3 linked regions of the Mus musculus genome follow. The protein of the gene in region 3 interacts with the protein of the main gene of each other region in a biochemical or structural test. Links are inferred from orthologs where the notes say so. Each region holds a gene or a part of one and is shown on either strand. Other genes may lie near its edges.

Evidence for each region.
Region 1: the proteins of Apbb1 (region 3) and Lrp1 form a complex in vitro, tested with the Homo sapiens proteins (2 studies listed by BioGRID and IntAct, with this or other methods). The link is inferred for Mus musculus from reciprocal best matches to the Homo sapiens genes APBB1 and LRP1.
Region 2: the proteins of Apbb1 (region 3) and Evl form a complex in vitro, tested with the Homo sapiens proteins (2 studies listed by BioGRID). The link is inferred for Mus musculus from reciprocal best matches to the Homo sapiens genes APBB1 and EVL.

What each region holds. Positions count from the first base shown.
Region 1 is NC_000076.6:127,534,359-127,544,186, forward strand, and holds the end of Lrp1 (prolow-density lipoprotein receptor-related protein 1 precursor), read right to left. Parts: intron 8,908-9,828; coding exon 8,729-8,907; intron 8,316-8,728; coding exon 8,209-8,315; intron 7,944-8,208; coding exon 7,827-7,943; intron 7,458-7,826; coding exon 7,281-7,457; intron 7,017-7,280; coding exon 6,876-7,016; intron 6,766-6,875; coding exon 6,592-6,765; intron 6,423-6,591; coding exon 6,261-6,422; intron 5,970-6,260; coding exon 5,795-5,969; intron 5,602-5,794; coding exon 5,500-5,601; intron 5,374-5,499; coding exon 5,309-5,373; intron 5,205-5,308; coding exon 5,114-5,204; intron 5,020-5,113; coding exon 4,875-5,019; intron 4,733-4,874; coding exon 4,592-4,732; 3' UTR 3,799-4,591; downstream 1-3,798. Other genes in the region: Nxph4 (neurexophilin-4 precursor), read right to left, coding at 18-74. UniProt on the Homo sapiens protein: Endocytic receptor involved in endocytosis and in phagocytosis of apoptotic cells. Required for early embryonic development. Involved in cellular lipid homeostasis.
Region 2 is NC_000078.6:108,676,891-108,686,726, forward strand, and holds part of Evl (ena/VASP-like protein), read left to right. Parts: intron 1-1,209; exon of another isoform or gene 1,210-2,267; intron 2,268-2,938; coding exon 2,939-2,999; intron 3,000-4,600; coding exon 4,601-4,664; intron 4,665-4,680; exon of another isoform or gene 4,681-6,291; intron 6,292-6,304; coding exon 6,305-6,371; intron 6,372-6,457; coding exon of another isoform or gene 6,458-6,520; intron 6,521-9,159; coding exon 9,160-9,226; intron 9,227-9,517; coding exon 9,518-9,575; intron 9,576-9,836. UniProt on the Homo sapiens protein: Ena/VASP proteins are actin-associated proteins involved in a range of processes dependent on cytoskeleton remodeling and cell polarity such as axon guidance and lamellipodial and filopodial dynamics in migrating cells.
Region 3 is NC_000073.6:105,568,926-105,578,761, forward strand, and holds part of Apbb1 (amyloid-beta A4 precursor protein-binding family B member 1), read right to left. Parts: intron 6,615-9,836; exon of another isoform or gene 6,505-6,614; intron 5,492-6,504; 5' UTR 5,478-5,491; coding exon 4,757-5,477; intron 394-4,756; exon of another isoform or gene 315-393; intron 306-314; exon of another isoform or gene 1-305. UniProt on the Homo sapiens protein: Transcription coregulator that can have both coactivator and corepressor functions. Adapter protein that forms a transcriptionally active complex with the gamma-secretase-derived amyloid precursor protein (APP) intracellular domain.

The sequences.
Region 1 (9,828 bases), on a different chromosome or scaffold from region 3:
GGCTCTGCCACCCTTACCTTCCTAAGGAGCCAAGGACCAAAGAGCAAGAGGAGCCATTCCGGGAGCAGCCGCATCTTCCCGAGCGGTCGAGCGGGTCGGGCAGGGCGGGTCCCGAGTCCGGCAGGACTGGGCTCAGGGTGAGGGACGCCGGGCAGAGGGCGGCGGCGCGAGCAGCGGGAGCGGGCGGCTCGGCCCGCGGACTGAGCGCGGAGCGGAGCAAGGCGCTGGGGGCGGGGCGCGGGCGGGGGAGAAAGTTGGGTCTGAGTCGGGCGGGCGGGGTGGGGGGGCGGGGCTCCGCGGTGCTCCAATCCCGGCCGCGCCCCGCGCGCCCCCTCCCGCCCAGCTGGGGGCAAGGAAGGTGACTTTCACCGTGACACACCCTGGACACACCCCTGGCTCAGGTGTGAAGCTGGAGAGGGGCAAGGGGTTTGGGGAGCAGCACCCCAAAGACGCCAGGTCTTGGGGCAGATGAGGGCTACAATAGGGCGTGGGACTCTAGGCCCTGAACTGTGAGCGGGAAGGGGTCGTCGCGGAGCATGAGTTCCCATACACAGGCTAGGGAACGCAGCAGGACCCTGTCCTGTGATGCCCGAGGTGGATGGGTGGGGGGTGTTTCTATAATCCTGGCAGAGGTAGGTCTAGGGCAGTGATCCGGACAGGGACCGAGGTGAGGGCGGGCGGGGCCTCGGGCGACTAGCACTGAGCGCGGCGCTGACGGGGATGGATGGGCGCCCCGCGGCTCATTCGGCCTGGAGATGAGAATCATTGATCACGGACGGAAACCCCATCACGTCTGTCAATAGGGCTGACAAACGGCGCCCGCCGCCCTGTCCCCGCCCCGCGGCACCTCTGCGGCCCCCGGACCCCTTGGCTAAACCGGCTCTTTTAAGTTAGCCCCTGATCCGCACTGTTGACCCTGGCCTGATCCAGAGCACCCTTGTTTGGTGCTAGGCAGGAAGTCCTCAGTGCCTTCTGCCCCTCTTGGTACGAGCCCTGTGCTTTCTCTCCCACAATCCCATCTTCCACTCTCAGCTCTTCTCATCCCGTCCCCTTCCCTGTCTATCTCTGTCCTTGTCTCTCTCTGTCCCCAGCTCCAGCACGGTCTCTGTTCTCATCCTCAGGGCTGTTTCTTCGTGTTTCCTCCTCCCACTGGTCTTTCTCTCTCTCCCCTACCCAGGGAGTCTTCAGCTGTCAGCTGTTGCTATGCGCTGTGTCTGAGGCTGAGTAGGTAGTATGACCAACACCTAGACAGCAAGAGATAGGACCATGCAAAGAGATGAAGAGACAGACACACATCCCAAGGTGTGTCTCCAGTCTTACCCCACTGTAATAGTACCCTGCTACACTGTAGCAGTGAGGCCACTTCACATACAGACCAGCATACACAGAGGCACATAAGCACACAGAGACGGACACACATGATTTATACACACAGTAGCATACAGTGATATACAGAAACAGCTAGGTACCCAAAGTACCTCTTGCCTTGACAGAGGCAAATACCCACAGGGACACACACACACACACACACACACACACACACACACACACACAGGCAATCTGAAAGACAAGCCTAGGGATATGAAAATAACAGACACACAGGAAGTGACAGACACTGAAAAGAGGGTCAGGGAAAGGACAGGGGTGTACTTGGTGACACTCAAGGAGACAAAAACCAGGGAGCAGCGATTTGGGGTGCAGTCAGGGCTGAACGAATAAAGGCAGGATGAGACAAAGTGTCAGGGACAAGGCCAAATGGCTGGCCAGGGCTGACCCTAAGCAAAGGAGCTGCTTTAGTTCTGGGTGAAGGCAAAGGGTGGTCACACATCCTGGGTGCCTAGAAGCCCACGGCCAAAGTATCTATCTGTAGGAGACCTGACCCTCCCCATCACCATCGTTTTAGCTAATCTCAGGCCGTCCAATTCTCTCAGAGATTACAAGTGCATGCACACATACACACATGTGCACAGTACTTATCTCTGGGTCTTTGCCTCTGTCCCTGACTCTTTCCATCTAAGAATATCTGCTTTTCAATCTGATCTGAATCAGTCAGTGTCCTTTTTGGTTTTTGAGACTCCCTTGCATTTGGCTTGGTTGAAGATAGTGCACCCTTCTGGTCCTGGCCAGAGAGGGAGGGTGCTAACGAAGGGGTAGGCTTTCTAAAGCAGCAGTTGGGGGCCTGTCTTGTTCTACCCGAGATCTTGAGGTGACAGGCAGAGAATCAGTGGCTCCGGGGGGGGGGGGGGCTACAGATGCAGGCTGGCAGAAGGAAGGGGTGGAGAGGGTGGGATTACTGGTGGTGGGGAATGAGCAGACTCTGGGGGAGGGAAGGAAGATGGCTGACAGAGGGTAGAAGGGTCAGCGCAAAATAGCCCCAGGGAAGGAAGTGAGAGGCTGGGCTAGGGTCCTCGGCAGCAGGTGCATAATTAGTGTGGGGAGCTTTAGGATAAGCAGTGTTACAGCAGTGTAGACGCCACCTGGTGGCCAGAAAGAGCCACAAGTCAACATTTAAGGATCAACAATGACCCCCCCCCAACCCCCACCCCCACCCCCATTTTATTCCCAGCAGGATCGCTCATCCCAGAGTCATAAGGAGTCTGGAGGAGCAAGGAAGATCTCATAGCCGGGCTTCAGGGATGAGGTTGGAGATAAAATTGATGATAGAAAAGGAGGGTCTTGTCTTTGGATGTTCATCTACCCATAAGCTTCCCCGAGGGGAGGATTCAAAGGAGAAATACCCTGGGAGGGTCAGAGATGAAAAGCTGGACAGCTCCTTTGGGAGGCATTGTTTGCTGCTGTTAGAAGAGCAGGGTTCTAACCCTCCCCCAGTCCTGGACAGTGTAAAGCTGCATAGTCTTCCGCAAGGGGTTCATTCCCCTTTGAAAGAGGTTCAAGGAGATCTGGAACAACTAAGATAGTGTAAGTCCTTTCCTGGTCAACTCCTGGAATGTCTGCAATGTTTGTTGAGAGAGAGGCATATGTCGGAAGCTGATGGGCAAACTGAGCCTTGCTGGCTCTCCTCCCCTCTATCTCATCCCCTAATGCAGGTATTTAATTAAAAAAAAAAATTCTGTGTTTGCCAAAGCGTACATATGGAGGTCAGAGAATAATTTTACGGAGCTGGTCCTGCCCATTTTTTTTTTTTTTTTTTTTTTTTTTTTTTGCTGTTGTTGTTGTTGTTTTTCGAGACAGGGTTTCTCTGTGTAGCTCTGGCTGTCCTGGAACTCAGAAATCCGCCTGCCTCTGCCTCCTAAGTGCAGGGATTAAAGGCGTTCGCCACCACTGCCCGGTGGTCTTGCCCACTCTTACATGGGTTCCAAGAGCAAACGCAGGCTACCAGGCTTGCAAAGTCAAGTGTTTTGCCCACCCAGCCATTCTGCTGGCCCAACAGCCAGGGTTTTACTCATAGGTCATAGAGTGAGATGTCAACATTTCAAAAGGAGCATGGAGCAGACCTTCCTAAAGGCCTTCATTACCCAGTGTGCTTTTTTCTAGGGTGGCATCTCACTGTGGGGCCAGTGTAGGGCAGGAGAACAGTGAAGCACATGTCTGAGTCAATGCACTGGGGCCGGGTGACACCAGATCCTACCAGTCACATCATAAGGCTCAAGGTCATACACTGAGCAAAACAGCTCTTCCCTGCCATAGCAAGACAGGAGGATGGAGTGGGGCTGGAGACGTGGACCTTAGGATTCTCAGGCCAGCCTCCAGCATGCAGCAATGCTCCCTCTGGTGGCTGGAACAGGCAAGCACAGCCCCAGCTCCCAAATTCTCACATTAGCATGCAGACACAGTGGGTTTCTTTTCTTTTCTTTTCTTTTTTTTTTCCTTTTTTACAATTTTATTTATAACAATATCTGTGTTATTTAGTTGTAAAGGAATTCAGCAAAAATTATTAAAACGTTCACGTCCCCAAAATGGGGCTGCCCGCTTGCCCTTCCTTGGTGTGCCCCGACTCTTCCTGGCCCTCAGGGGGATGGGAGGCTTGGGGGACAGTTACCAAAGAATGTGTTCAGCCCTAGGAGCCACAGAGGGGGCGCTAGAGAGGGGAGGGCCTGTCTGGAAGGGATACTGAGCATGGCCATCTGAGAGGTGCCCCTGAAAGTGGGAGCTGGGGTTTGGGGTGACTTCCCTCAACTAAAAGACTCCTTCCTCAGCTAGAGCCAAATCTTCCAGACAGGGTCAGCAGAGGACTCCACCTCCCCTGAACTAACCCCAGAGAGCCAAGGAAAGGAAAGCTGGGACACGGAGCCCCGTTGAGTGTCTTGCACAGGCGTGGTGGGGAGGCCGTGCCGCCAGCTTCCAGGGGTATGCTCGGTAGGGAACATGTGGACTCCTTCATACCTTTGAGCCACAAAGCCCTCCCCGCCCCCTCAAGGCAGCATGGGGGGGATACTGAGGAGCAGGCAGGAAGGAAATGCAAAGAGATAATACTGTGCTTGCTCGCTTGCTCGCTCACATATAAAAAGTAATTCCTTCATTTTTACATTTGTACACCCGGCAGGGCCGGAGAAGGGCCGGCTGGGGAGGGGGTTCATTGAAAGACTCATGTGGCAGGGGGCTTTCTGGGGACATCCGTCGGGGCAGGGCCCTATGCCAAGGGATCTCCTATCTCGTCTTCAGGTCCCCGGCCCAGCAGTTCTCGCTTCTCGTCCGTGCTGGCCAGGGAATGGCGGCTGCCGTGGCCCCCCATGTAGAGCGTGGCATACACTGGGTTGGTGAAGTTGGTAGGCTGGGAAAAAAAAAGGTTCATATGATTAGAATACCCCAGCTCCCACTTCTGTGTAACACCTCTGGTTGCCTTGATCACCCCAACCCCACCCCTCCGGCCTTTGATCCTGTTCCAGAAGCCCCTTCGATGGCCTCTGGCATACCTTGTCAGGGTCAAGGGCAAAATCAGCATCCAGTAGGCCCCCGACATCATCGGGCTCTCCACCTTCATACATCTTGTAGGTAGGGTTTCCAATTTCCACATTCATGGCCCCATTGGTCATCCGCTGGTGCTGGAAGCCCTTAGCCCTGGGGAGAGGCAGGAGTCAGGGAACCGTGATGTTGGTAAGGTTATCGGATTGTAAAATAACAGCCAGAATTTCTCAGACTCCCAGTGGCTCACCCTCGGACTCGCCGCTTATACCAGAACACCACGCCAGCCACCAGAAGCAGCAGGAGAAGCAGCAGCAGAGGGATCAGGATGGAGGCCATATCTGGAGAGAGAAGTCGGGAAACTGAGTCTGAAGCCTAGGGAGATGGGAGGTGTAAGGCTCTTCTTGCTCTATGTCGTGGCAGCCCTGCCCTCCCCACCACTTACGCCCAGGCTGTTGCTGACTAACAACCTGCTCCTCGCACCGGGGTCCTGTCATATGGGGCGGGCACCTGCAGGCAAGAAAGCAAAACTCAGTGGGTGGGCATCACCTCCACGACCATTTTAGCTGCAGGAACTAGGAGGTCATAGGTCATATTGTTCCTTTGCTCAGATTTGATGGGGCGGGGCCAACTCACTGGCACTCAGGCATCATCTTGCTGTTCATGGTGCAGGAGCCACCATTGCTACAGTGATCGATGCAGGTCAGACAACTGGGGGCTACCCGGCCATCAGTGCAGCTGTGGAAAGGAATCAAAATCTGGAGCTGGGGCTTGCAGAAGGGTATCTGGGATGCTAGAACAGGAACCGGGCCAGGAGGGGCAAGATAGGGGCGGGGCCGGAAGGGCCCGGAGAGGGGGCGGGCCCAGGAGGGGCAGGATGGGGCGGGGCCAGAAGACAGAGCAGAATGTGGAGGCAAGACCCCCCACTCACTTGCATGTGACATCTCCGGTCTGCTTATTGACCACACAGGCGCCTTGGAGACAGCGACTACACTTGTTCACCTCACACCTTGGTCCCTCAAAGTAGACGGTGCAGCGACATTGTCGGGAGCCATCAGCAGCCATCTGACAGGTGCCAAAGTTCTCACAGAAGCCAGAGCACTGCCCTGTGGTTGGGAGTGGAGAGGAAGTACCTTATGCAGGGTCCAGGACTTATGAATAACTCCCACCCACTCCTGAGCCTCCTAATGCCCTGTCACAGACCCCAGAACACTAGGATGACCCTAAGCATTCCTTGTGTTGAATGCCTGGAGGCTTAGGCAGATGCGCCAACATGAGAGGCAGCACCCACAGCCTGGGCTTGGCTCATCTGCGTACGTCTTCCATCCTCTCAACCTGCTCCTTTGGGTTCTTTCTGGCTCCCCTCTTCCTTCCCTGGGGTTGAGGTGAATACTCACGGTACTGGCAACGGTCGCCCAGGAAGCCAGGTAGACATCGGCACTGGGGCTGGTTGCCCTGGTTGACGGTGCAGGTGCTGTTGTTAGAGCAGTAGCCTGCACACACCTGTGCGGTGCATTTGGGGCCCGTGAAGCCAGTGGGACAGCGGCACGTGGGCATGCCTGGTGGGAGAGGATCTGTGAGTGGGACCATGGCACTGGGGACCACCTGGGCCTATAGCAGGGATCCTAGGCACCTTGACGAACAGATGGGGTTGAAGTGGATGCTGGAGGCGATAGAAGGGGCCAGGTGAGGATGATGGGAGAGGACCATCCCTGGTTGGGGGCATACCAGATGGGGAAGCCGCACAGGTGCCTCCGTTGTGACAGTATTCCCAGCACTGATCCAGCTCACACTTATCGCCTGTGTAACGGGGCTGGCAACGGCACTTGGGCTGCCTCCGAGCATTGAGGAAACAACTACCACCATTGAAGCACTGCAGAGTGCAGGTTCCAGGCCTAGGGGCTGCAGTAAGAGCTCATCAGAGCATGGGAAGGGGAAGGGGGTCAAGGGTAAGGGGAGCCAGAGGCTATAGGTAAGGGATCCTCAGGTACCCAGGAAAAGGGCATGCATACCATCTGGAGGGGGTGTTGGAGAGGGCACAGGCACACAGGTGCCATTATCCAGCCTCTTTCCATTGGGACAGGTGCAGACAGGCCCGCTGGGGCTCAGCAGACACAGCCATTCACATTTCTTGCGGTCACAGGGGTTGGTCACTGTGGGTGTTGGAAGGGGTCGATGTTGAGCAGTGTGGACTTAGAACATTTTCCTTTTTTTTTTTTTTTTTCCAGAGACATGGTTTCTCTGTGTAGCCCTGTCTGCCTTGGAACTCACTCTGTAGACCAGGCTGGCCTCAAACTCAGAAATCTGCCTGCCTCTGCCTTCCAAGTGCTGGGATTAAAGGCATGCGCCACCACTGCCCGGCACCCTCCTTATCACTGACCCACCCTGCCACACCCCGGGTTTTCCCTCTGATGCACCTTCAGGCTGCTTGTGTTGATGGTAAAGGACTACATCAGAGGCATGGCTCAGGCCCCCAGTTAGGTTGATCAAGGGGCTGTGTCCAAACTTGTGGATCTTGAAGACACGATTATTGATGTAAGTGACTCCGTAGATGTAGTCTTCAAACACATCGATGCTGAAGGGGTGACTTAGGCCTGGGGTGCAGGGACAGCCAGGTTAAGTCACTACAGGCGCCTGGGCCCTGGACCCAGTCTTTAAGACACCTGTCAGTGTAGGCGTCTCAGACCTAACATATCTAGAACTATCCCTGCCACTGGCAAATTGTCTCATCACCCCCAAGATTTCTGGGGCCATGGGGGACTTTAGCTCTCTCTCCCTTCATTTACCCTGCTGACCCCACACAACTTGATACTTGTTGGTAGAGTGAATAAAATGGTCAGGTAGGCGCAGGCTCACGGGCTGGCTGGGTGCCAGGCTTCTGAAGAGACATCCTTGAGCTCAGTGAGAAGCCTGATGATGATGTTGGGGACCATGATGGGAACCAAGCCTGCCAGCACCCTCACCTCGTTTGCTGTCAGCAGCCACAATGGGGTCAGTGCCGTTGAGCCGGATGCTGCCGATGACCGAAAGCTTGGCATCTGCCCAGTAGAGCCGTTCATTGTGATAGTCCACAGCCAGCCCTGGGGTGAGAGAATGCTGTCTGTCAGAGATCAGCTTCTGTCACGCCAGGCTGGGCGCAGAGAACAGAGCTGACTCTGTCTGGTATCCACGGCATGTATCCTACCCGGCTCATAGGATCTCTCCCAGCCGCCCATCCGGGAAGCACTCCCATGGCCCTCGGCCTGATCTGCTGGAGATTGCCCGCCCCACTGCACGCAGGGGTGACTTCTGAAGCAGCCATGATCAGAGTCTGCCCCTTCCACACCCTACCCCTGCCCCAGGGACCTGTAGGCCACTGAATGTTGTCTTGCACGAGAGTCTCCCGAAGGGTGCCATCCATCGCTGCTGTTTCAATCTTGGGGTGGTTCCCCCAGTCTGACCAGTACATGGTGCTGGGAAGGGAGAAATGAGAGTGGGTTGGATCCCAGGGCCAAGGAGACAGAGTGAGATGGAAGAGAGGGCACCTGGCCTGGTGTGGACGCTCCTGGGTATTGTGAGGAAACACCCTGTCCCCTTCAATGAGCCCCAGGAGACAGCTGCCGACCCATGCTAGCATCATCTGCTCTAACTACAATGTGCTAAGCCAATAGCATCTGAATGGGCAGGGCTATGCCTGCAGGGGGTCCCAGATCTTGGCTGCCAGTAAAGCTATTCAACTGGGAGTCCCCGACAGAGGCTTTAGGAGGGCCAGGACTGGAGAAGCCTAGCAGCCTGAGGTCTCTGCCCCCTGCCTGTGGATGTCGAGCCTACCACCTGTCTTGAGGGACACCAGCCCAGATACCTCCCCCCCAGGACCCGTGCCCACCCCCTCAGAGGGTCCACCACGATGGCATGGGGCTCATCAATCATGCCCGAGATGAGCGTCTTGCGGTTCTCGCCCTTCATTTGCGCCACCTCAATCACGTCTCGGCCGGAATCGGTCCAGTACACATTCCCGGCCACCCAGTCGATAGCGATACCCCTCGGCATCTTCAGCCCTGAAATCTAAGTGGGGTCATATGTTCAGCGACTGCCATCTTCTGTCTCCCTGATTGTCACCCCCATTCTCCTTGGTCTGCCCACCTGTTCTTGTCTGTCACCCCACACTGACGTGACCACAGTTTCTAGGTTCTTTTGCTTTTGAATAGGTCTCTCTCATAGCCCAGGCTGATCTGGAACTCACTGTGTAGCCTAGACTGACCCTTTTCTCTTGCTCTTCCTTCCTCTGCTATGAATACAGCTGGAGTTACAGGCATGCGCCACCATGCCAGGCACATTTTCATGGTTTTCTAGTTAATTCTCACTTTTAAAAAGTGGTGGGGGCAGTGAAGTGGCTCAGTGGGTAAAGGTGCTTGCTGCCAAGCTTGAGGACCTAAGTTCCAATCCCTGGGACTCCTGGTAGGAACAAAGAACAAACTTCAAGTTGTCCTCTGACTTCTACATGTGTGCCGTGGTATGTACATGTGATTCACACACACACACACACACACACACACACACACACACACACACACACTCAATGTATTAAAAAAAAAAACAAAAAAAAAGCAGTCTGAAGCTGGGAGTGTAGTTCATTGCTAAAGCAGTTGGCTAGCATCCATGAAGTCTTTAGTTCAAATTTAGCACAAAACAAAACAAAACAACAACAACAACAAAAAAAACAAAACAAAAAAACCCAAGCAGCCAGATCTATAAAGAAGCTTAGAAGACTAGGTATTATTATATCTTCATTGTTGCTGAGGATCAAGCCTAGGGTTTCACACATTCCACCTCTGAACTCTACTTAAGCCCAGGAGAGCTATTATTCATTTTGTCAATAAAGTAAAGCCCACGCATTAAGCAAGTTGGCCAGTACTGACTCAGAGGTATCAGAGTAGGCTATGCTGCTGAGTGCCAGAGGGCATCGTATCCCATTGCAGATGGTTG
Region 2 (9,836 bases), on a different chromosome or scaffold from region 3:
CTGCCCAGCTGGATCTCAGAGCTGAATAGGGCTTCAGATAACAGGAGAAAACATTTTAGAAAAGAAAATGTTTGTACCCTCCTTCAATCTAAGACCAGTGAGCTTAACAACTTGGCTTGGATGATGTATCCCAAAACACAGGATCTCTAAAAACAGGAAAAGGTTAGAGTTGCCAGGAGCCAAGCAGACGCCAGGTGCTGGGGGGGTCGGAGGTGGGGTCCAGGCACTAAAAAAGCAAATGTGCCTTGCACAGTCTGCAAGGAACAACCAAGCAAGTCTTTGAAATCTGCTTCATGAGATTAGCAGTCCTGCAGCTTTTTCTCCTGCTTCTCTTCTAGCAGGGCTCCACCTACAGTGGAGAAGTCACAGGTGAGCACCTCCTGAGGGCTGCTGTGCTGGCACAGGCACATACGTGCCTCTCAGGAGGCACTCACCAGTGTAGACTGCAGTGGCTTGGTCTGTATTGTCTGTGTGATGGAACACATGCCCGATCACATGTTAGGCAAATGACTACCTCTGAGTAGTCCGCACAGGCGTCCCTCTGATTTTAAGAGATGGAATGTGGCTTCTGGGCATCAGTGGGCATCATGGGGTAAAGCGACTAGGCAGACCAGTGAAGAAACCTTTGTCACCCAGGAAGAGGTGATGACAGCTGCCGTGGAATAGGCAAAGGTTAAGCTAGGCCAGAGTGGGAAGAAATAGAGAGAGAGAATTGATGAACTTACTGGTCCTAGTCTGTGGGAGGAATAATTTGTCAGAGGCCAGTTTCCACAGGTCAGGGGAAACTGAGGCAGGTGTAGAATCAGTGATTGATCATTCAGCAGACTTTTCTCTGAGGGCGGAAACTTGATTTACTGGAGCCAGTGAGAAACTCTTTGGAGCTGGCAAAAAAAGGAGGAGAAGATTCACACACACACATACACAGACACACATATACACACATACACACACACATAAACACACACTCACACAGACACACATATACACACATACACACACACATAAACACATACAGACACACATACACAGAAATACAAACACATAAACACACACACATACACAGAGATACAAACACACAGACACCACACACATACATATACACACACACACACATATATATATGTATATGTATACATATATATATAACAACTATTTTTTCTTCCACAATTTATATATCCTAACAAAATCTTTCAAATGGTACAAAATGAATCACAATGTGATTACCTTCTATTTTTCATTAAGTGATCCATTACAGTGAGTATTCATAGAAAAACATATTTACCAATACTCTCACATGAATAAACTTTTCTTAGAACAGGTTAAACAGTACAGGTTTAAAACAACAACAACAGATTATTCCCAAGAACCCACATGCATTCATAACTAAGCAACTTGTTATAGATTAACAAAATAAAAGCAAGCAAAATAATTTTCTCAGCCAGTTTCTCTTACTGGCAGGCTGCAATTTGCAGTTACAAAGAAAGAATTATTATTTATCTTTAAAAATAATGATAAAATCTTAAGAGAATCATAAATCTAAACTTTTATGTAAAAAACAGTCATTTTTATTTTAAGTCCCCAGGGTGCATCTACTCATTAACGATTTTTTTCATTAAGTAACATCAGGAAGCTAGGGCAAAGGTGAGTACAAGAAATTAGTCATCACCTTGCTCGCCAGCCCAGCCTCGGGAAGGAAGAGGTGCATCAGCTAGGACCAGTCAGGCTACCATTGTTTCTTGTTCCCTGTCCTCAAAAAAATTCCCTCACTCAACTATTAATAGTTTTACTTTCTGACCTTCAAATTGTTCCCCAAGGCCACTAACAATCTATATCTCTAAATTCCTTCTAAGGGTGGTGGTTGAATCGTTTATCTGCTCCAGTATCGATGCTTGACAAAGCTCCATTATTATTACTGTGAGTGGCAGTGACACTGCCCAGTGAGGCTGGACGCCCCTCAAAGTTTCCTGCACTCATGGACTGTGAGGCAGCCACAGCAGCTGCGCCGAGGCACGGGCACAGCCATCGTGCTTGTGCTAGCTGGCTATGGTGGACCAGTCCATGAGTTCTAAAGCTATTTTGCTGTTCCTCTTTCTTGCCCCATCCTGAGACAGCTTGTGTGAACCCTGCCACAGGCAGCCGGAGACAGGTCCTCAGCACATACAGGCTCACTTCACTCCAGGTGGGCTGCTCACCTCAGGTTATGAGAGGCCTCACAGTTGAAGATGCACTGGAGCACATTGCTGGGAAGTAGAGGCCTGTATCTACACCTGGGAGGAAGCAGATGCAGGTGACATGAGACCTGGATGCACCAATAAAGTTAGAGTCCTGTAGAAGATTCATGCGTAAGAGGAAAATGCAGGAGTTGAGTATAGAAGAGCCCTGCAGCTCTCCTGGGTGCTTTTAGCTCCTTAATGTTTTTCTAGACCGGAAAGGGCGTGGCTAGCTTAACTGAGGTCCAGGACACAAGTGTGGCAAGAGAAAATCTTACCCATTGTGACATGATGCTAGAGCTGAGGTTCTTCAGCTGCAAAAAAAAGCTTCCCACAGCTCTGACTCAAAAGAGACAGACCGGTCCAGGATTCCAGTCCATCTGCAGGCCTTAAGTAACCCTGTCCCCTGGGGGACCTAAACACTACCATGTTTCTCCCTCAGAAACGATGGCCACCACCAGCTCAGTAAGCAAAGAAACACCCCAAGTGCTTACTTCCTGCCCAGACCAGTTTTGAGTGTAGGTCATAGGTGAGTATAGAAAGTCTTAGCCACTAGCCTTAGCTCATGAAAGTAGGGTGCCTAACGAGTGGCCTGTCCACATAAGCCAGCATTCTAAGCTACACACAGTCTGTCAGGGAACCAAGTGTGAGTAGAGGCAGCTCAGAGTTCCCGTCCACGGGGGACCTTGGGAAGCTGATTTGTATTTTTTTTTCTCCCCAACATCTAGGAGAAAGGCAGCCTCCCAGACAGACAAGCCCGCTGACAGAAAGGAAGATGAGAGCCAAACGGTAGGCACCACTCTACCCAGCCGGCCCACACCGTCAGGCCTGCCTCTGGTGTAAGCACATCTCCCGGTGAGGTCACCGGAAGCTGAGTACCTGGTTTAGACACAGCTGTGAGGGAGGGACAGGGATCCCGTCAAGCTTCAGGCCCAGACAGGCTTGCATCTCCTGAGAATTCTTTTGACCAGACCCTTGGAGCCATCATTCAGCAGGGAAAGCAGAAGTAGACAGGAAAGTCCCGGCCAGCAGGAGTGCTTAGAGAATCCCAGGGAACTCAGGACCATTATGCTCCAGCATGCCAGGGCTGCATCAAAGGGACTGGAACCATCTACTGAAGCCTGAAGTCAGAGTGGTCTTATTTCAAGTTACTTATAGTTCTAAACACACCACTTGAGTATCCATCAAGCCCAGTGGGAGCTGTGCTCCCCAGCCATGGCAGGGTTCTGGAACCCTGGACTCTAGTCCCTGGCAGGCATGTGGAGATTGGTCTGTCAGCACAGAGCTCTTAGCCTCAACTTCTATTTATGGTGACCATTTTTTTTTAATGTACACGATAAGCTTTCTTATTTTAAAAAAAAAAAAAAAAAAAAAAAAAAAGAGCCGAGCGTGGTGACACATGCCTTTAAACCCAGCACTTAGGAGGCAGAGGCAGGCGGATTTCTGAGTTCGAGACCAGCCTGGTCTACAAAGTGAGTTCCAGGACAGCCAGGTCTATACAGAGAAACCCTGTCCCGAAAAACCAAAATAATAATAATAATAATTAATGGCATTCTACCGGGATTGCTGAGTAAAAGCCTCTAATACAAACAGCATGAAGGCTGCCTGCCTGGTCTTCCTTACATGCTTAGCCACTGAGGTGGGTCTGGTGCCCCTGGGCTCTAGGCCTCCCTGCCAGTCTGTTCTCCTCATTCAGTCTACACACAAGCCACTTCACTAGGCCTGGGCATGTGTAGTGCTTTGTGCTCACCAGATGGCCTCTCTCAGCCTGTACCTGCTGCATGAGCCTTACTGAGAATGGCCTGCCTCTCAGACCTCAGCTTAGGAAGGTCACCCTCACTCCCCAGCTCTCTGCTTCTGCCATGCCCTTCATACAGACAGGGCTGCCTTGCAGAACTATCTAGGGACCAAAATGGGGTTCTCACCCAACTGCCCTGTGTCTTCGATCCCTGTGGCCTTAAGCCAGATTTGCTGGCCAGTGCCACTGGATATTTACATGGGTGTGTTGGGCCTCGGATTGCAGAGTCAGCACTGGCTTTTCTTAGGTGCCGCAAGTACTCGCTAGCCTCAGCTTCAGAATCCGTCGGGCCATAGAGCCTTAAGGAGTGGCTTTCATTAGTGAGGCTCTGTTGAAACCCTCGTCGGGCCTCATTTTCTCACCTTTTAAAAAAAAAGGGGGGGCAGATCTTCTGTATAAATAAGACCTGGGCAGGGTGCTTTCCTGAGGTCCCTGCTTCACTGTCTCCAGCCTAGTGATGTAAGGATTGTGCTCTTGACTGAGAGACATAGACTGAGCCTATGCCTTGAGGACATGCGGGAAGCAAGCTGGCGCAGAGGTACCCTACCTTGTTGCTAGCAGACTAATGACAGGACCTTCTCTCTCACTTTAGGAAGACCCTAGCACCTCCCCATCCCCAGGTACCCGAGCCACCAGCCAGCCACCTAATTCCTCAGGTAAGAGGGTACCTACCCTACAAGTCTTGAGATCTTAGAGCAAGCAGTCAGCTGATATGGCCACTTCAGTCTATGGATAAGAGCATCAGATCTACTGAATTCCAGGTCCTCAGAGCTTCCACACTTCCCCAGGGAGCCCAAGCAGACAGCTAGGCAGGTGTGGCAAGGGGCCCTTGATCTGGTCCAGCTAAGGGGAAAACACCAACAATTCCATTCACAGTGGACACTCAGCGGTGCTGGGGTTTTAACCATCCAGAGCCTCCACACATTAGTCTAGCAAGCTACCACGCTACTGCTTAGCCACCCCCTGACCAAGAAGCTATTTAATGTCATACTTGGTTTCTCCTGTGTAATGCCAACTAGACTAATGCTACAGTTAGATCACCAATCCACCTTTCTCTACCAGAAGCACAACCCCTGACCCTGCCCCAGTCCCTACAGTCAGCTGTGGCCCCCGGTTTGTGATTAGGACAGTGTTATGAGACTTAGCTAAGGGACAAGACCCAGAAGCTGGCTTCAACTAGCCACACACTCATTGTCAGCTTCGAGCCAAGCCTGGGGCTCATGAATGTGGGAAGTGAAGCAGAGGAGTCAGGTCGCCCACTGAACAGATAGATGCTCTTGTCAGCTTTTGTTCACACCAGTGTGCATGTGTCCAGCCTTCCTGGACTTCCTGGAGTGCTGCTGCCTACATTAGATGGCTTGCTCATTGTCACTGTCCTCATTTCCCTACTGTGGGTTACGGGGATTTCCTATGCTTAGCAGCCTTTGACTACCCACGGCCAAGCATTCTGCTTGAGGCCACACACCTGGAGGATGGCTGTGGTCCAGATCTTGTTTCTATAGGCCCCGTGCACCACACACCTGGAGGATGGCTGTGGTCCAGATCTTGTTTCTATAGGCCCCGTGCACCTGCCAGGTGGCTTTGAGGTAACCTGCCTCAGACCTGCGGTTGCTCTGCAGACAAGGCTCAGCTTAGGGCAGGACAACCCAATGTCCCTTCGCTTGTTCTGCTCAGTTCAGTCTTTCTCCTGTGAATTGAAACATGAATTGTAATCTAGTCCAACAAAGGTTGAGTATTCACAGTCCAAAAATGCAAAATGCTCCAAATTCTAAAACTTGCAGTGAATTTCATATGAACTCTGAATCTGCAATAACCACTGGTTCCAGGCATCCGTATGAGGCGCCCTCAGCCTGTACACTAAACTTAGAAAAGGGAAAGCTACTTCAGGCTCAGGAAGGAAGCAGGCCAGACTCAGTGTGAAGAGACTAGTGGGCAGAGGTTCAGTGGGATCCAGGAAGCCTGGCCACCGGAGATATACCAGGACAAGACCGATGAGAGTGTTGGCTCATATCCCTGCCTGCTCATTTGTAGCTGGAGTTGCCGCTTCCCTACCAGCTGAATCGAGTTCTATGTAGAATACTCAGGTTTCAAGGGAATAGTGGGGAATGCGGTGACAGCAGGCTACCTACAGTTCCTGATGAAAGAGGACTGAGACTCGGGGCCAGGTTGCAGCTCTACTCTTAGCAGCTCCCACTGTGGCTCTGCACCAAAGTCTGATAGACTCCTGCAGAGAGGACTTGGGAGTGGGTGACACTGAATCTTCTCAGCTCTGATCCTTCATGAAATGAATTGGCAGAGGCTGGCAGAAAACCCTGGGAACGGAGCAACTCGGTGGAGAAACCTGTGTCCTCGTTGCTGTCCAGGTGAGCTGTTCTGGGAAGGGCCAAGAGACTGCTCTGCGGGCAGGATCTGGTACCGGTTCACATGTCTCTTTCATTCCATGCCGTAGAACCCCGTCTGTGGCAAAGAGCCCCGAAGCTAAGAGCCCCCTTCAGTCGCAGCCTCACTCTAGGTACCGACAACCCTCCTGCCCATGTGTTGCCCAGGCTCTGCGGTCTCCTCTGTCCCCTGGCTCATGACTAACACCCCCAACCCTGTCTTGTGTCTTAGTATTAACAACTTGCTCTGGGAAGGGTAGTCTGCTCTTTCAGACCTGGAGAGAGGCAAAACTAGAGGCCATCATAGGGGTGTAGGCTGGCTTCCTCTCCTAAGAAGAGAAGGCCCGGGCTCTGCAGAGGCATGACTGACAGAGGAGAGAGAAGCAAACCCAAGCAGTCAGTCCCTGCCACCAGCACCCTGTCCTTTCAGATCGTCTCTGCATGCAGCTCGCATAGTCGGCCTTCTTGAAAGTCAGCTTCTCCTGTCCTTGTTTCCCAAACCAAATGCCAATATAACAGCAGGATAGACCATTGAGAACTCAGCTCACCCAAAAGACAAAGATGGTAACTGAAGCCAAATATGCCTGCATTTGAAGGTCCATGAGCCTGTAGCAGGCAATCTCTCTACTGGCCACCCCAATGGGAGCAAGCAGCTCTTGTCACAGAGCAGGTGACTACAGAAGCCAGGCCTGCAGAGTAAAACAAAGTGGTGAGCAAGAGCTCTAGCCCAGCCCTGACAGGCAGGCCATGGGAGCCAGGCTGCGTGCCAGGGACAGCTGTGGTCCCTAGAAGCTCCAGGCCACATTGAGGGCAATGATGGTCTGCGTGGAAGCTCTAGAGAGGGGTTGGCCATGCCTCTGAGTGAGAGAATGTGCTGCCGAGATTCAGGAAGCAGCCATCAACCGGAAGAGATGGAAGATGGTAGTGCCTTGAACACAGCCACCCAAGCAAAGTTGAAGAACAGGCAGTGTGGCTAGAGGCAGAAAGACTGACCATGAGCACTCAGGCAAGCTGATTTCCCACACGAATGCTCCCTGCAGAACACCTGACACAGAAAAGGAGGGCTGGCAGAGACCTGTGGTCTTCCTCAGAGCTAGTCCTCACTGCCGTGGCTTCTCAGAGAATGCTCCCACCTCCTCAGTGTCCTTCCCTGGACAGACACATGGCCAAGGCCTCTCTTCAAGAATGAAATTTCGCCGGGCAGTGGTGGCGTTCGTCTTTAATCCCAGCAATTGAGAGGCAGAGGCAGGCGGATTTCTGAGTTCGAGGCCAGCCTAGTCTACAGAGTGAGTTCCAGGACAGCCAGGGCTATACAGAGAAACCCTGTCTCAAAAAAAAAAAAAAAAAAAAGAATGAAATCTCTTTGCAGCTTCAGGCAAAATCTGATCTCCAGTGTTTTTGTTATGATTCATTTCCACCCTCTCCTTTCTCTCTTGCTATCTTTTTAATTTTTTAAAATTCACTTTACATCCAGATCACAGCCCCACTCCCTCTCTCTTCCCAGTTCCACCCTTACAAACTCCTCCCCTCATTGCCCCTTCCCCTTCTCCTCAGAGAAGGAAGCCCCCCTCCCACCTTGGTAGCATCCCACCTTGGGCATCTAGTCCCAGCACTGGTCTCTAGTTTTACTGAAAATGTACAGTAACCACTTGCTCACAGCATACATGCTGCTCATGATGGCTGCTGTGTGGACGAGGGACAGCTGAGGCATAGAGAGTAAGCTAGATGATTCAGGTCCCCAGCAGTCACTGCTGAGATGGCACCTGCAGCCCATTGGGAGGACCTGAAGCTTGGGTGTGTTTGCCTGTCAGGACCCAGAATTCCCGGTAGACCTGTTCAGCACCATAACTGACTTCATTTTCAGCCTCTTCTCCCAAACTTTGGAGATCAGTGGCCCTCACTCTCCTAATATCACCCCTTATACAGCAAGTTGTCCCCATAAATGGACATTGAAATTCCATCATATCCCACATGCTTCCACCTCCTCAGTGTCCTTCCCTGGGCAGACACATGGCCAAGGCCTCTCTCCAAGAATGAAATCCCTTACCTGATTCCAGCCTCATCCCTTTCCCTGGAGCCACAGGCTTCAGAGCTCTTCTCTCCACATGGACAGAGGATTGGGTCCAGACTCTGTCTGCTGTCAGCACCCCACCATGTCCTGAAAGACCCCCGAGCTAGATTCACATTGTGGCTAGTGAGTATCTGGGAGAGTGCCTGTGCACAAGGCATTGACGTTCAGATCAATGATGTCAGTCCAGAGCTTGTTCAAAGTATAACCAATAAGAAGGAGCAAAGCACATCCTTGAATGCTTCAGGAAGAGCAGAAGTAAGGGAGCCACTTCCTGCCCAGGGAGTGCTAGCTGAAGTGCTACCCCAGCATGGAGATAACTACAGTTTCATCAATTCTGGTTGATTTCACCAACCAGAGTTCAGCTAGGAACACGAGCTCCTGGTGGCAGAAGACATGATTAGTACCACCCCTCCTCAGTGAGGCAGGAGGCACAGACGCAGTCTGGCTCAGTTGCCTACTCTGCATAAGGCCTTTCAAGCCAGAAGACTGTTCCTGTATGACCCCATGTCCTGACTTAGACTTGGAAATGTGGTTAAGGGATTGTGGAGAGACCTTTCAGAGGCAGGACTTGCACAGCCTTTCCCAGCAGCCCTAGGTAAAATACAGCAGAAGGGCAGGGGAGCCCAAAGGAGGGAACTCTGACACCCCAGGGCTCCCCAGCATAGGTGCCTATAGACCCTGGCAACCACCTTCCCATTCCAGGGTGAAGCCTGCTGGGAGTGTGAATGACGTGGGCCTGGATGCCTTAGATTTGGACCGGATGAAACAGGTGAGAGCCGGGGGACTGGGGGTGGGGGGGGCCAGTCAGCAGGCTGAGGACTAGCTCTATCCAGTGGGTCTCATACTTGACTGCCACAAAGGCAGGAACCTAGCCAGAAGAGGAAAAAGGAGAGTCTGAGTTCCCTGCAGCCTGCTTCTGGAACCCCTCCCTGTGGGCAGCCATCATAAACTGAGGGGTGGTGAGGGCAGGGTTTGCCCAGGGCCAGGCTGAGGGAAAGAGCCCTGCAGCATACCCCTGGAGCCAGCGTCTGTCCCTTCACTGTGAGGCTCTGCCCAGCAGGAGATCCTGGAGGAGGTGGTTCGGGAGCTGCACAAGGTGAAGGAGGAGATCATTGATGGTGAGTGGACCTCAGCCAGGGTGCGCTCACTGCCCTCCCAGCACCCCACTCGCCCCAGTGAGCAGCCCTGGAAACAGGTGCAGAAAAACAAAGTGCTTTACCAAGACTGCATTTCTCGCTGGGTGTGGCTTCTGTGTCTGAGACCTCCCTCTCCTCAGCATCCTCTCAGATCACGTGTGCAGGAGAGGGTGGGTGTGGAAACACCCCCTAGTTTCTGTCCTTTCCTGTTCACATCTGTTGCCTGCCCAGCCCTGCCAATGC
Region 3 (9,836 bases):
CTTCTGCTCTTCTTTCCTTAGCCAGGTTTCCCTCCCCAGTCCCGACTCTCCACCCCACCCTCCAGTGGTGACATCAAAGCCACAGTTAAGCCAGTCTTACAAACACCAGGAGGCTCAGCCTCTTGGGAATAGCTCAGCCACCTGGGGCCCTGCAGAATCTATAGGACTCAACATAAACAGGGTGTGGCTTCCAAACCCTCGGGGATCCTTCTCCTAGCTAGACTATCCAGCACTTGCAACTAAAGGGTGGCCTTTGAGGGCCTAAGCCCTAGCAAGCTGGAGGATTTGAGGCTTCCCAGCACCACCCCCCTCACCTGCCAGGGCCCAGCTAGGCTGCAGTGTCTCCTCGGCAACCGCAGCACCGGGATGGCTGGGAGTGCCCAGACTGCTGACGTGCTTCCCGTTACCAAGGAAACCAGGAATCCTGACTGGTCCAAGAGGCAGCACTGAGGGACAGGCAGTCTCAAGATCCAGGCTGCTGGGTACTAAAGGCACAGAGGGGCTGGGAGTAGGTCTGCCTATGCCAAGGTGTTTCCCCACCTAGCATGAGTTATTCGACAAGGAGCTTCTCCATCCTCAGCCTGCAAATGAGGTAAGCCCACAGGCACCCAATGAAAAGGAGCTCTTTTTGCCCATCTACCTGCTAGGCAGCCATCACTGTGTCTCCACCCTCTACTATCTGACTCTACTGAGGCTCAGCAATCATGTGTTTTCCCCCAGATCCCCTCAGGACTTTGCCGCTAAAACCTTCCAGGAACACTAACCCCAAGGGCCCTTGCCCTCCATAGCCTGCCTCATGGTCGGTCAGGCATTTCTGGAATCTGGGGGCCAGTTCACTGTTTCCCCTGACTGAGTCAAGCACACACACACACACACACACACACACACACACACACACACACTGATCCATCTGCCATTTCTGTCAGCCTGTGCTTTCCTGCTTCAAAAAGCTTCGTCCTTCCGATCTGTCCTGGAGGGGGCAGCTCCTCACCCCCCTGACCATCTGGGAGGCCCTTCTGGAGCTTGGCACATCTCTCTCCAAGCACAGCCCACCCGGGGCCTCTGCTTCCATACACACGCACTAATAACACAACCGTACACTCTCCTGCAGGCACTCACGTGAATCCAAATATCCCCATGGCCCTTTCTTCATTCATCCATGAATGCCTTAGTGGCTTAGGCAGGCAAACTACTTTGCTGATGCTCTCTCTCTCTCCTCCCCTCCCCCCTGCACCACATCATTACTACAGACCAGGCGACCAGCATGCTTTAATCTGGATTACGGCAGAAGCCTCTCAACTGATTTCCTTCTGTCTCCACTACAGGCTGCACACTGTAGCCTGAATGATTCTTAGGAGACGCCAAACTAATCAGGTTACTCTCCAGCTTAATGCTCTTAACTGCTTTCTCATTACCTTCAGGACAAAATCCAGACCCCTCCACAGGTTTTATGTGCTGCTAAGAGCCCCTAGCTTTCTGCCTCTCAGCCTTGCCTCTGACAATTCCCCAGATTGGGTTCACTCCACCTTCAGACAAGCACAAAGGGAACTCTCATGACCGACCCTCTCCTCCAGACTCTCTCAGGCAGGGTACCCTCCTAATGATCCTCTACCAACCCACTTATCATCACTGATTGTGAGTCTATTTCTGTTTCCCCACTGTGAGTACCGAAAGGGTAAGAACATCTTTGGCCTTTCTTACACATTCTCAGCGTCCAGGACAAGGCCTTGCTCAGAGTGTAACTCCAACATAGGTAATGACGTTCATTCATTCATCATTCATTCACAAAAATCACTTAATTCACACAGTTCATTCAGTCAACAACTGCTTCGTGGAGATCCTAAAATGGGGAGAAAACCAACTTCGGTTCCATCCTACCCCATTTCTACTGAGCAGAAACCCACCACCTGCAGTTCTCATGGCAGAAGCAACACAGACAAGAACATTCCTCCCCTTGGGACTGGCCTAACGCCTGCATCCAACAACTCCTAGAATCCACCAGGACTACTTTGCTGAGTCTCCTCTCACCCCTCCCATGGCCTCCCTGAGATCACTGGCCATACCCAGCACACCCTTAGTTCTTCTGTTCTGCTACCCTCCCACCTCAAAGGACCAGAACATAGCTATCAGCGATGACTTCAGGAGCCACTAAGCAACCAAGCCCCTGTTTGGCCAGTGAGCCCCCTGTCCAGGGTTGCAAGCTGTAACCTGCAGTGCTACAAGGCTCTAAGATACACATATGTCCTGCACAGAGCTCTTGAAAAGACAGAAATTAGTTGCTGAGTGTTAGCATCCAGAAACTGAGATAGTTTACATCAGAATCTAACTTTCAGTTTGTACATTTTTTTCTCCAAACTCAATCTAATAAAGAACCAGCTTGAGTAAAACAGATGTTCCCTTTACAAAGGATGGGGACATTGGCCATCAGAAGCCACTAACATGACACAAAGAGAAATAATTACCGTTGGTAAGGTACCACCTATGAGGTGTTCTCAAAGAAACAAAACAAATGCCACTCAAACCTGAATCTGGTAAAGGCTCTAGAATTATCTACTACATTTATCTAATTATCTATTACAAGAAATCTAGAAGAGGAATATATTCAAAAACACTTAGGGAGAAAGGCTTAAAAATTCACATCATAGAAAACTCAGGACAGAAATGTGTGTGCACACAATCAATAGATAAATAAAGGGAGAACTTATATACATTTTAAAAAATTTAAAGCCAGGTGTTATGGCTCATGTCTATAATCCCAGCACTCAGAAGAGAGAGGCAAGGGACCAGTTTGAAGTCAACTTGGTCTACATAGTGCACTGTGAGATCTAGGTTAGCCAAAATGACAAGATTTAATAACCAAAATGAAAGAAAGGGAGAAAGAAAGAAAGAAAGAAAGAAAGAAAGAAAGAAAGAAAGAAAGAAAGAAAGAAAGAAAGAAAGAAAGGAGGGACGGAGGGAGGGAGGGAGGGAGGGAGGGAGGGAGGGAGGGAGGGAGGGAGGGAGGGAGGGAGGGCAGGCGGGCAAGGGAGGGGATAGGAGGGGAGGGGAGGGGAGGGGAGGAAGGAAGGGGTCAGCAAGAGAGCTCTTCAGGTAAAGGTGCTTGCTGCCAAGTCTAGTGACCTGAGTTCAGTCTCCTGAACCCACATGTTAGAAGCAGAGAATCAGCTCCTGAAAGTCATCCTCTAATCTGCCCATGCATGAGCATGCATTTCAAACAAAACAAAACAAAAGCATAACCATTGTGGCTCATCTGAATATCAATCCATATAGTTCTCCTCTTTTCAAAAGGCTAAGTGGGACATTTACCACACAATGTGGAGAATGTTAACATTAAGTGGACATCTGATGATAGGAAGGAATCACAATTTTTGTTTCTATATAAGCAAAACAAGGCTGGGTATGTGGGCATAGTGGCTCATGCCTATAGCCAGCCCCAGGACAGTTTGGTAGAGACAAGGCAAGTGTAGGGTCCATCTAGGTTACACAGAGAAAAAAAATATAATATATATATAAAACATATGTATAATATATGTGTATATATATCCTAGATGGGGTTCAGAAGTAGATAAGACATTGACCCACCGAGGTCACTGTGCATTGATGATTACTGAAACTGAGTGATGAATAAGTCAGGCTCATTACTGTGTTGCCTCCACTTCTGTATGTGCTTGAAAACATTCAGTTAGGCTTTTCAACAAAGCGATGGGTGGAGCTCTCAGGTATCTGAAATGTATGTCCCCTACCAGGAACCATTTGTAGGGTATAGGTACTATTAGTACCTTAGAAGTGAAAGTCCTTATCTCTGCCTCCCATCTCTCTTCCAGGCATAGAACCCGGGTCATGCATGCTAAGCACATTATCTAGCATTAACTTATATCACCCCTCAACTGCAGCTTTTCTTATATCCCCACCCTCAGATCTTCTGGGCTGTAGCTGTAGCTACAATAGAGAAATCTTTACTCTCTATAACATTACCAAATACAGAACTTCAACTTTATTAAACAGGTCACATTGAGTGATCAGTTGATCACTCTTTGTTCTCTAGTATCTCCCCAGGAGGAAGCATCAGTGTACTTCTCTGTCCCCTAACTTTTAGCCAGCATCTCATTCCCGGCAACATGGCATCCTTGCAATGGCCGGCACGGCACTCTGCATGCGGCATGTGGTTCATAAGTAGAAGCCAACCCCCACACTTTGCAGACAGACATCTGTGGGAAGATGCTGGGTGCTCCCTCTGGACGTAGATGTGACTGCTAAAAGAGGCCATGTGCACTGGTGACTGCGTAACACAGGGCTCAGCACTCACGCAGGTCTAGACTCAGCTCTGCTTTCGATCTTAGTTGATCATGAGCTGGGACTGTCTGTGACCCTCAGGAAGCCACTAAACTTGCCTGGGCCTCTTTCTCATCATTTGTAATTTGGCCTTAGAAAGAGTATGTCTTTCTAAGAGACATTGCTCTAATTACTGAATGCCATAATGCTTAGCAGAGGGTCAGTTTCTCAGTAAGCACTCAATAAACCAGTGACGCTACACATCAACCACGGCAGCACACATGATGAATAGAGTCAGCCTTCATGGCATGCATGATGGACATGGATGTATCAAACTGTCCAAGCACCCCCTGACTGAGAGAATGTTGGACTGAGGGTATAGGCTCTGCAGCTCATGCTCAGGCTGGCCTTGGCCTCTGCACGGAGAAGCCAGACTTCTGACCCCATGCCCTCCCATATTGCCACATCTAGCTCCACAAGGTACCTGTGTCCTCCGGGGAGCCATAGGAGGGGCTGCCCTGTGATAAGGTGGCCCAGCTTGAGTCCTCATCACTGGCTGCACTGTTTCGCATGCCAAATAGGAGGCTAGCACTCTTGCTGTGTTCCCGGGGGCCGTCTGTGAGGGCCTGGGGCCCAGAGGGGACTTCCACATTCTCCAGAGGCTCAGGTAGCCCTGGAGGAGAAGACAAGTCCTCCTCCTCCTCCTCCTCCTCTTCGTCTTCATCATCCTCCTCAGCCTCTCCTGCTGCCTTCTCCTCTCCTTCATCTGGTCCCTGTTCCTGGGTGTTGATGATCAAGGCGGATCCATGAAGCCCTCGGTTGGCTGCATTGTGGGCCGAGAGCTCCAGCTCAGAGTATAGATGCATTAAGCCTTTGGGACCCAAAGGTGCCGTCTCAGCCTCCTGGCTGGCCTCCTCCGCCAAGGTCAAGGTCACATTTCGGTTCTGGTCTCGGTGGGCTGTGGCAGCCCTCCGAAGCTGGTTCTGGCCTTCCTTTAACCACTTGGCATTGGCAGGGCCTGGTTCAGGCACACTACCCTCTCCCATAGCACTTCGAAGGTCCTTGGGTACCACAGCTGTGGCTTGCAGCTTGGCGTTGAGCAGCTGGTTATGGGCAGCGTGCAGGGGTAAGGGGAAGCTGAGTGCAGGGCCTCCGTGGCTGTTAGCGTTAATGGCCGACTGGCTCAGGGATGATGGAACAGACATGGCCTTGGTAGATCCTGTGAGACAGGGAGGAGAGACCATGTTGAGTGTTCCTGTTGCTGCCCCAGACTTAGGTCCTGTTCCTCATCTTCTTGTAACTCAGTAAGCCAGCAAACACCAATCCATGTGCCATGAACTACATTCCCACCAGACACCTGTCCCTACAGCCCCATCCCCACCACAAGCCAGGCCCAGCTCTGCAACCCAGCCTTTTCCCTTGTGTTCTGAGTAGCCCAGTGGTGCCTGCTTTCTCTTTACTACCAAAAGCAGGATGTCTGCACAATGGCGCTCTGTGCATCCCCACGCCCCACTTGACCAACTGGGGCTCACTGTGCCAGGGACACAGACAGCACAGCACAGCACAGCACAGCCTTCAGTGGTTTGGATACTAAACACCGACTGCCACAGTGCTATCTGGAGCCTCATCGTTGCCAGCCCCCTGGGCTGTGTTCCCTTCATTATAAGTCACTAATACAGTCATCTCTAAGCCCACTCTACACTGGGGACTAGTCAGACAGGAATGATGGATGTGTCCTGTCAGCAGACATCATGAAAGACAGCAGGTCACAGAGGAAGGGCCTTCAGCTCCAGCTCTTGGCTCTCCTGACTATAGACAGTGTCTGTGAAATATCTCACCTAGGGTACCAGGCTCCCCTGCCAGCCCTGGTCAAGGGCTGGTCACCTGGTTATGGCATGGTCACCTCAGGAGACTCTAGCCTTTCAGGTCATTGTCCAAGGATCACTATGAGGAAGACTTTTCCTACACATCCACTTTTAAACTGTAGGCTACCTTTCCCCAACTCAGTAACCCATTCTTCCCAGGCATGGATCATCATCTACCATGCTAATTTAGCTTTTGTATTTGTTTACTGATCTACTCCTGGCTAAGTTCTATGTTGCTGAAAATTCTGCATTACTATTGTTGTTATTATTTTCAATAAAATACTCCCAGCTTCTAGCAATGTCCTGGTACAGAGCAAGAAGCAGGAGCCCAGAAATTACCATTCATTGAGTAAGTATACAAACCTACCCTCACATCTCCCCAGACTCCATTTTAGACTCTTCTCAGAAAACACTTCATTTCATGCTTTGGATCTGTCTGTCTCAGCAGTAGCTCTTGGTACCTCAAACACACTCTTCCCAGTCTACATGTGAAAGGGGACCTCTTGGTTAACAATGTCATCCATTTCTCAGTAGTCTTCCTCACCAGTTCCCACCAGGCTCTGAGTATGACCTATCCTCCCTCAAGGGACCCCCTCCCCAGACCTTCCCTCAAGGCCAATCTGTCCTTTTCTCTGTCCCTGCCTATTCTGGAACTCTATGAACCCTGCTCTCCTTGGAACCCCCCAACACTAGTTCTTTCCCCACCATCCACCTCCCACTCACTCTCAACTCTCACTGCAAACCCTCCCTCAGTCAAGCCCTGTTGTCACTCTCCCTCCCAATGGTTTCCCTCAAAGTTCCCTCTTTCTACTGAACCCTTCCTCTGCACACAAGTCCCCAACAACCCAGCAGTTGCAGGTCTTACTTTCTGACCCCCCCTGTGCAGCTCTTCCCTTTAACATCTTACTCAATGCCCCCCACTCCTTATTCTCTAGCTGAGGTGTCTGACTCTGACTCTCCACTGCCTCAGTGTGCCCCAATGCAGAGTAAGTGCAGATGTTATAGGGTGCCCAAGCGAGGCTCTCTCCCATTTCTTCAGGCTTAGCCAGGGATCCTGAGACAGAAGCCACTATCTGCATTTTTACCATTTCTAGCACCTGGGAATCTAGCACAATGCTCTGAATAGTTGTATAAAATAAATGAAATAAGGTTTCTGTCCATGTGTCTGCTTCACCTTCATGTTTAACTAACTGCTGATCTGATCAGGGTGGTTCCACCTGGGCTGTGAGGAAACTCATGGTCACTGGAATAAACGAAGGGGAAAAAATAGGCAGTTCGGTCTCCACCCAGAACCACAGTGATTTTCCAAAAATGGAAACCAGATTGTGTCACTCCCCGCTTGACAAAATTAAAGGGCTCACCACTGCCTTTAGGATAAAGGCTGAGCTCAGTTTACAGGATACCTGAGAGGCCACTGCAGCCAAACCTAGCACCTCTCAAGCCATCCCTCCCTCCCTCTCACACCTTATACTCAGCCACATGAAGTATGGGAGGTTCTGGAACACATCAAACAAAGCCTAAGTCTTTGTTTACATTGTTCCCTCAGCCTGGAATCCACCCCTTCTTGTAAGAACCTCCTCCTTGTATTTCAAACCTTCCCTCAGCTCTCAGGGCTCCTAAGCAATCTTCCCTGGACTTTCTTTACCCTCCAATGACCACTCCCTTGTCTGTGCTCCATAACACCTAGCGTCACATGCTATCAGAAAATATGAAACTCTGTCTGACTCAGTATTACAATATCGGCATAAAGGGGAACATGTTGTGTGTCTGCCAGAGTGGCCACTGTAAAGAAGGATAGGACGGATGATGGGGGCAGACACTGGAGAACTAGGTACCTGGGAGCTTGGCACTGGCTGGGAACAGATACCCAGGAAGCTTGTCCTGTCACCTTAGGCTAGAGTGGATGAAGGTGGTCTTAAGGAAGGAGCTAGAGAATGATGAAGGGGGCCTGACCGGGAAGATGGGACAGAGCCTGGCCAGGTAAGGCTCCGGTCTGTGAAAAGAGGGAGAAAAAGAATGAAACCCGAAGTCCTGGCTCACTGACTGTTCAATGGCAGCATCTCACAGAGACCCCATGCCTCTGACAGCTCACAGGATATCAGGAATGATGAACTCTCTGAGGCAATGGTGGAGAAAAGCCATGTTTCTAAGTCAGGCTGGGACTGGCTTTCATAACACTAGGAAATGTACCTGAAGAGAACACAGGTTCTGTGTCACTGGGTGCGTGAAGAGCCAGGTTGACTTTAGGGCAGCCCTGACCATCAGGACACCAGAGAAGAAGGCAATTTTAGATTAGATTGGGTAAGTTTGTTGCAAGTGCCGAGACATAGCCGTCTAGCCTGAGGCAATGTGGCCACCACCCTGACTTTTTGAAGCCAAAAAGATAACCAGGTACATAGTTTCTTGAAAAAAGAATAATCCAATCTCTCCTCTCTCACTGGGGTTATCTATACTTGGGACATCTCAGAGGATAAAAAGGTGCCAACATGGTTCATAACATGAGTGATCTTGCCAAAAAGCCAGATGACCGAGCTCAATCCTCAGGAACCACACGGTGGAAGGCAAAAATGAACTCCATAAATTGTCTTTTGACCTCCATACCTTTATATCTTCACTGTGGCTCCTGCATACCTACACCCCTCTCCTCCACAAAGATAAATGTACAGCACGAAGCTAAGTCGGGCCTTGGGTAGAGACTAAGGAGGAACCCACAAAGCCTGAAAAGGCTAACATCACACCATAGGTCAATGAGCTGAGTCCTGTCCAAAGCCAGGAGTCTTCCAACCTGACAGCCTACAAGATGCCAGGCACTGCACTAAACATGGTCAAGGGTATCAACAATAGAAAATGGTTCCTCCCCTGGAGGAAGTCATACTCTTGGGAGTCACTGCACAACTCCTTACTGTATAGTAGGACACCAATCTCTAGGACAATTCCTAGTATCTATAAGTACTTTCTTCTTTTTTTTTTAATTTACATTTTATTTACATTTATTTTTTATTTACATTTATTATTTTGTGTGGGGGCACACCTTCACTATAGCACAAGTGTGAGAACAACTGAAGAGAGTCTGTTCTCTCTCCACCACGTGGGGCCTGAAGACTGAACTCAGGTCATCAGGTTTGATACTAAGCATCTTCGTCTGCTGACATCATCGCACCTGCCCACCAAAAGGCACTTTTCATTGGTGGAATAAATCAGTTACTGTGATAGAGAAAGAATACCACATGACTAGACCCTTGGCTTTCTGCAGCTCTAGGAGCGAAGCCTGCTTGCACATCAATCTCCTGGACCACCCCTCAATTCTCCCAGTCTCTCAATTTCCTTTCCAATTCCTGGAAGAAAGGGAAGTCACTAATTGGGGAACATCCTCAAACCCCAAACGGGATGAATCTGTTCTTTCTCTTTTTGTCTAAAACCAAGTGTTTCGCCTACTACTTAGATGTAAGAGCAAAGTGTTTCTTGGCCTGACCTTCCCTTAAGCTCCTTAGGGCCTCTTTCTCTCCACACTCACTACAGCCATTTCCTCTCTTCCCTTTTGGCTTTTTTAACTCTGCTTCCATTCTCAGTAAGACTTGGTAACAGCATCTACTAAGGTCCAGATGGCCCCCCTGGCATTTAATAGATGTCTGGCCAGCATGTGTACTTTCAGCAGAATTTAGCCTCAGGAGCCCCTTGTCCAGTGTGCATTCATAGCTT